2 linked regions of the Canis lupus familiaris genome follow. The protein of the gene in region 1 interacts with the protein of each later gene in a pairwise test. Links are inferred from orthologs where the notes say so. Each region holds a gene or a part of one and is shown in the gene's direction. Other genes may lie near its edges.

Evidence for each region. The genes of interacting proteins can lie anywhere in the genome.
Region 2: the proteins of FARS2 (region 1) and RCBTB2 interact in binary tests that used the Homo sapiens proteins (3 or more experiments, as listed by UniProt). The two-hybrid records come from large-scale screens. The link is inferred for Canis lupus familiaris from reciprocal best matches to the Homo sapiens genes FARS2 and RCBTB2.

Annotation. Positions count from the first base shown.
Region 1 is NC_049256.1:7,060,240-7,063,465, forward strand, and holds the end of FARS2 (phenylalanine--tRNA ligase, mitochondrial), read left to right. Parts: intron 1-2,383; coding exon 2,384-2,594; 3' UTR 2,595-2,609; downstream 2,610-3,226. UniProt on the Homo sapiens protein: Is responsible for the charging of tRNA(Phe) with phenylalanine in mitochondrial translation.
Region 2 is NC_049243.1:2,982,626-2,986,371, forward strand, and holds the start of RCBTB2 (RCC1 and BTB domain-containing protein 2), read left to right. Parts: upstream 1-1,383; 5' UTR 1,384-1,485; intron 1,486-2,010; exon of another isoform or gene 2,011-2,154; intron 2,155-2,419; exon of another isoform or gene 2,420-2,714; intron 2,715-2,753; exon of another isoform or gene 2,754-2,802; intron 2,803-3,746.

The DNA of each region.
Region 1 (3,226 bases):
ACCACACGGATTTGGCCAGTAAGAAGCCTCTAGTAGTAAGTTCAAAGTTAGAAATACTTTGGTTAATCACATTTCTTCTCGTTTCCCCCCTGTTGTGCCTTCACGAATATTTATTCCACAAATGTCAATTAGAGAATACCTGACTTAGTGGATAAACACAGAGGGTTGACGTGCGATGCAGCAAACAACATGTCCAAACTCTGGCCCCTAGACCTGCCTCCTTGTGCCTGTGTGTTTGGTAATTTTCATTTGGAATAATGTTGTGGGGGAAGTTTCACTTTTCAGCCACTTACCCGTTTGTACATCCCCTTCCCCTGTAGCTCTTTTAAAGGATGGATAGGGCAGGTGAAGCATCTCCATTAGCCTCCTCTGAGAAACAGGAGTTACGCAGGAATGATGGTTAGAGCTTAGTCCCCAGCGCTGGGGTGGCCCACCTAAGACCAGCATCATTAAATTTGCTTCATAGTTCGTTTCCCAGAGTTAGGAGTCTCTATGTTCTGTCTGGTGGAAGGGGAGGAGGGCGGGGGGTGGGGGTGACTGGGTGACGGGCACTGAAGGGGGCACTTGAGGGGATGAGCACTGGGTGTTATTCTGTATGTTGGCAAAGTGAACACCAATAAAAAATAAATTTATTATTAAAAAAAAAATTCGCTTCATAGGGGATAGCCAGCCTGTTTAACTTAAAGGATAGGGCATGGCAATTCAGACCAGAAAATATGAATGGAATTTGGAATTTGGACAATACTTGGATCAGCATTTCTTAAAATGGCATTTGGGGAAAGAAGTCTCTTTAAGTAAGATTGTGTATACTTTCCTTTGGTTTTGTAAGGCCAGGCAGCCTGGTTACCTGCTGGGTGGAACCGCCCACCCCAAAGGCTGAAGCCACCTCTGGGGAAGAGAAGTGCAACACAATACAAAGCACCCACAGCTCCTGAAATTAGACTTGACCTCCTCTCACCTCTCAAGGCAGAAACAGCCTCCCCAAAATGAGGGAAGGAAAGCTAGGAAAAGGAGGTGTGAGGAACGTCTCAAAAGGAAAACAGAGAGGAGTTGATTTTGATTATATTTAGAACGTTAATTTTTTTAACCTAGAGTGAATCAAGGAATACCTGTACATTGAATTTCTTCGTTTCAGGATTCCTACTGCCAAAAAAAAATCTATTTAAATATGAACCCCAAATAATCTGATATTACATCTGATACAGAAATATATCTGGCAATATTAAACAGATCAAATTCTTGGGAAGACTAGTCTGAAGAAGCTATTCTTAGCATAGTGAAGTAAAGGAGATCCATACAGATATTCAAGATGGAAAAATCCTAATGGTTAATAGAAAAACCAAGATTCAAGGTCCCTCCAACCTTCAGAGCAGAGCTGTTTCAAGTGCTTCTCAGAAAACATATGTGTTTTAGAGATTTTAGCCAGGAGCCCCTCCATATCCTCATGTCCTTTTCTGGGACATCCTTCCTTCCTGCCTTTAACTCTTCTAATGTCTTGTGTCCTGCCTGCCCTGGCCGTGCCCCCGCCCCCCCCCCCCCCCCCCCCCCCCCCCCCCCCCCCCCAGCAGCTTTATTTGGCCAATGGCTGGACCAGGTGGAGATTGAAATTGGATCCTGTAACATATGAATACATTTCTACATCGTAATTACACTGTTTAATTGTTTTAAATAATACTTGTACTTAGGTTTCCTGCTTATGGTACTACTAGGAGGATTTTTGTTCTTCTAGCTCATGCTGTAATAGGAAAATGGCAAGATTGTACTCCTAATTGCAAATTTGTTTAATTAAAATTACATTCAAACGTTCTGACATACTTTCAAGCAACTGTGAAAAATAGCTATTATGATCTGTTGGTATGCTCCCTTGAGTAGCTAATAATTTTACTTGGAGGGTGGTTTTAGTTCCTTATCGTCAGTAAATATGAAAAAAAAAAGAATAAAATAGCAGTAATTTCAAAATTTGATATATTTGTTTTTCAGTTGGGCCTTTGCATTATGTTTTTAAAACCAGTTCCCCTCCCCATCCCCCAAGAAAAATGAAGAAATTATATCTGTTAAAATATCTGTTGGGTGTATTCTGTGGAAAAATAGATCCAAACGGTCCATAGCAGATGTGAGGGAGGAGAAAATCTTATCTACTGCACTTTATTCCTGTACCCAAAATCTCAGACTCAAGGATATGTGACATATCTATTTCAGATCGGTGTCCATGTAGATGGTGTCTCCATGGAAGGGCTGCTCTGAACTTATTTTTCTGTGATTGTTTTTTTTTTTTATGAGATAAAATTCACATAACAAAATTAACCATTTTCGAGTGAGCAATTCAGTGGCATTTAGTACGTTCACAGTATTATGTAACCACCACGTCTATCTGGTTATCTAGATCCAAGACATGTTCATCACACCAACGAAACCCCACACCCATTACAGGGCTGCTTCCCATCCCACTTCTTCCAGCCTCCAGCCCCTGGCTACCACCGATCCGCGTTCTACTTCTCTGGGTCTCCCTATTCTGGATATGCCACATAAAACGAATTCATACACTGTATGACCTTTTGTGTCTGTCTGGCTCCTTTAACTTAGCATGTTTTTAAGGTTCATCTACATTTCAGCATGTAGCAATACTTCATTCCTTTTTATGGCTGAAAAATTTTCATTGTACATATAAACTACAGTTTGTTTATCCATTCCTCCCTCAGTGGACATTTGTGTTGTTGCCATGTTTTGGCTAAATGTTAATAATGCTGGTATGAACATGTGTGCGGAAGTATATGAGTCCCTATTCTCAATTGTTTGGAGAATATACCTAGGAATAGAGTTGCTGAGTCATTTGATAATTCAGTTTGACTTTTTAAGGAACTGCCAAACTGTTTTCTACAGAGGCTATCACTTTTCATTCCCACCAGCCACATACACAGGTTTCAATTTGTATCCTCTCCAAACCTTCTTTATCCTCCCCTCCCTCTGTCTCTCCCATCCATTCATCCTCCTTCCTTCCTTCTCTCCTTCCTTCTGTCCATCCATCATTTGGTCACAATTTACATTTCCTTAATGACTAAATGATCTTTTCAAATGCTCATTGGCCATCTGTATATCTTTGGAGAAATGTCTATTCAAGTCCTTTGCCAACTTTTTAATTGGGTTGTTTTTCCCTTTTTTGTTGAGCTGTAAGAGTTCTTTATGTGTTCTGGATGCTGGACATTTATTACACCAAACTTTTTATTGC
Region 2 (3,746 bases), on another chromosome or scaffold:
ATTATGGTCACGTTGTTACCTTTTATACTAAGAGGCCAAAAGTGTAACTGATGGTTTCAGGGGAAAAGCTGGTTTTAGGCAATGCCATGGAGGTAAGATTCCTGCCCCGCTGGTGACTTACAAACTCAAGTAAATGCAAGCCTCCTCCTGAGTTTTAACCGACTATCCTGTGGTCACAGATGTGCCTGCCGACTATAGTAGCTGCAATAAAAACAGCGAGACACTGTGGAAGGATGTTTTCCCCAGTGAATGACAAAGGCCAGACCAAATACAACCGAAGTGGTCACTGTGGGGTGACATCTCAGTCTACCCGTCTGTGCTTTCTGGTCAATCATTTAAACCCTTGAACCTGTGTCCTCCTTAAAAAAAAAAAACCAACGTAAAAGCATTCAGCTAACTGCACAGAACGGTTGGCAGTAGTAGCTGTGGAGCATTTTACCCAAACCCAACTCAGGTGAACGAGAGTGTAGTAAAGGGGAAGAAATTTCCACATATTTTAAAGCTCTGGTGCATTCTGCTAAAAGCTATGGAGACCAACAGCAGCGCAGGGTAACACAGGCACTGCTGAGTTAGTGCAGGGATAGTGTGGTCGGCCCAGAAGCCCTTGCCCCAGGGCAACTCCGGGCACCCCTCCAGACAGGTCACGCGTCATGTCAACATTCCGTAGTTATCAGAAGGGGCCAGGGCTGGGGCCCCACAGCAGGGGGTGAGGAGCGGGGGAACCCCCTGTGAAAACAGGGAGGGCCCCCAGGGACTGAGCGGGGAGGACCCCCAGGGAGAGCGTAGGGAGGACTCCCGAGGACGGGGCTGGGAGGATCTTGGGTACAGAGGAGGGAGGACCCCCGAGGACGGAGCGGGGAGGACCCCCCCGAGGACGGGGCTGGGAGGACCCCGGGTACAGAGGAGGGAGGACCCCCGGGACACAGTGGGGAGGACCCCGGGGACGGAGCGGGGAGGAGCCCCCCGAGGACGGAGCGGGGAGGACCCCGGGTACAGAGGAGGGAGGACCCCCGGGACACAGTGGGCAGGACCCCGGGGACGGAGCGGGGAGGACCCCCCCCGAGGACGGAGCGGGGAGGACCCCGGGTACAGAGGAGGGAGGACCCCCGGGACACAGTGGGTAGGACCCCGGGGACGGAGCGGGGACCGGGCCGCAGGACACGATGCCCACGCGCGCCTCAGCCTCCCGGGCCGGGCACCTCCAAAGCGCCAAGCCCGCGGGGACGCCGCGCGGGGGGAGCGGGGCGGGCAGGGAGCTGCGCGGGAGGCGGCGGCGAGCAGGGCGGGGGCGGGGGGGGGCGGGGGAGGGGCGAGGCTCCGTGCCGCCCCCTCCCCTGCCCGCCCCTGCCCGCCCCAGCCCCGCACCGGAGCGCGAGCCGCCGAGGCCGGGCCGTCGGGGGAGGCGCCAGGCGGTCGCCGCGCGGGCCCGGCGGAGCAGGAAGGGCGGCGGAGCAGGCGGGCGGCCGCGGCTCGGGCTGCGCGGAGGTAGGGCGACCCGGCGGCGGCGGCGGTCCGCAGGGGGCGCGGCGCTGGGAGCGGGCGGGCCCCGGTGCCCCCTCCCCCGGCCCGGGGCGCGGCGACCGCGGACGAGCCGCCCCCGCCCCCGCCCGGGCCCGGGGCCCGGGCGGGGGCCGGGGCCGAGGCCGAGGCCGGGGCCGAGGCGTCGCCGCGCGTGCGCAAAGCCGCGGGCGGGGGCGGGGCGCGGGCTCTGAGCCCCTCCCCCGGCCGCGGGCCCGGCGGCGCTGCGCGTGCGCGGAAGGTGCGCGGGCCTCGGGGCGCAGCGGCCGCGGGGCCCGGGGCTCGTCCTGGCTGCGGCGGTGGCGCGGGCCTCGGGTGTCACCTGCCCCGCCCCCGGCCTGCGCCCGCGTGGGGCACCTCCCGCGTTGGTCTCTGCCTCCGCGGCGTGGGCGCCCGGAAAGCCTTTCCCGCAGCCCCGGGTCCCGACCCCGCCCCCCCGACCCGGGTCCGCAGAGGAGGGACGGCCCCGCTCGCCGGGCGGGGCGGGGCGGGGCGGGGCGGAGCTGCCGAGCCGGTGCGAGGAGGCGCCCCGAGCCGCGTCCGAAGCCGGAAGGTCCTGCCCTGCTCGGCCCCGGAAACCGGAGGCTTCCAGACGCTGCAAACTTTGCAAGCGCGCCGCGCGGCCGCAGCTGGAAGGCGAGTTCGCCGCGGACTTGTTGTTTCCGTGCTCGGGGGAGTCGCACCCCGGGTCGGAGCGGAGCGCGGCCGGGACAGTCCCGGGGCCGCCGGGGCCGCTCGGCGCGCGGTGCAGGCGGCAGGGGTCGCGCGCGGCCGGGGGGCGACGCGCCTCGCGGGCCCCCATCCCACCGCCCCTGTGCACGGCTCTCCGTGCTCCCGCCTTTGCATCTACCCAGACCCGGCCCGGTTTTAGGAGCCTCTGGGCTTTGCACCTTCCCGGCCCCGGCCCGGTTCTAGGAGCCTCCGGGCTTTGCACCTTCCCGGACCCGGCCCGGTTCTAGGAGCCTCCGGGCTTTGCACCTCCCAGGACCCGGCCCGGTTCTAGGAGCCTCCGGGCTTTGCACCTCCCAGGACCCGGCCCGAGCCTGGCCTCGCCCCCGGCCTCGCCCCCTTCTGCTCCTTGGGCTAGTTTGGTGACTCCTGAGGCTGCTTGGAGCAGTTTTTGACCACGTCACTACGGTGCCTGGTCCTCTTACACGATGTGCTGATGCAGGCATTTGGGGGCTGGAGTACTCCAGGTGAGAGGTAATCTGTTGCCCGGGGCATTATTAGGCCGTGTGAGTGGATACATCAATGGATCCATACCTACAGGTTACTGAGTAGCAGGTAAAGGCAAATATGTATCCTACATTCTTGCTTACCCCAGTTCCACCAGGCCGGCCTCCTTGGGCTTACTGGGCTTATTACCACGTGGGCCTCCACCCTAGGGCGAGGCATTTGCTATTTTTTTTTCCATGCTCAAAGCCCATTTCCCCCCTCCACCCAAATATGTATGGCACCTGTCTTAATTCAAGGCTCAGAACAATTGCCATCACTTCAGAAAGGTGACTCAGTCATTTAAAACAGCCACTGCTCTCCTTCCGACCTCTTGCCCTGTTTGTTCCCTTTGGCTTTATAGCACTCGTCACTGTCCAATGGTATGTATTCGTGCGTGTAGGCTCTGTCTCCCCCATATTCAGAGCACAGGAGACATTTGTTAACTGCATAAATGAAGGTGAAATCTGACCGCAGATACAGTTTGTACTGAATTCTCATTGTGGATCCATTCATTCATTCAATAAATACTGAGTGACTGCTTTGCATCAGGTCCTGTCCAGGTATTTAAGATCTGTCAGTGAGGGCAGCCTGGGTGGCTCAGTGGTTTAGTGCTGCCTTCAGCCCAGGGCCTGATCCTGGAGACCAGGGATCAAGTCCCATGTCAGGCTCCCTGCATGGGGCCTGCTTCTTTCTCTCTCTGCCTCTCTCTCTCCCTCTCTCTGTGTTTCCCTCATGAATAAATAAAATCTTTAAAAATAAAAAAAAGATATGTCAGTGAACAAGAGAAACAAAGATCCCTTCCCTTTGGAGCTTACATTCTAGAAAAGAATGATTGACAGTAAACGTATGTGGTTACTTATCATTTAGAAAATTATAAGTGCTATGAAAAATGAAAAAGATGAGCAAAAAAAAAAAAGAGGCCTGAGGGTACAGGTGTGGGTTGCAATTTTATACAGCATGGTTATGGTGGATGTGAAGGATAAACTGAAGGCGATGGTCAAGACGGAGAACTA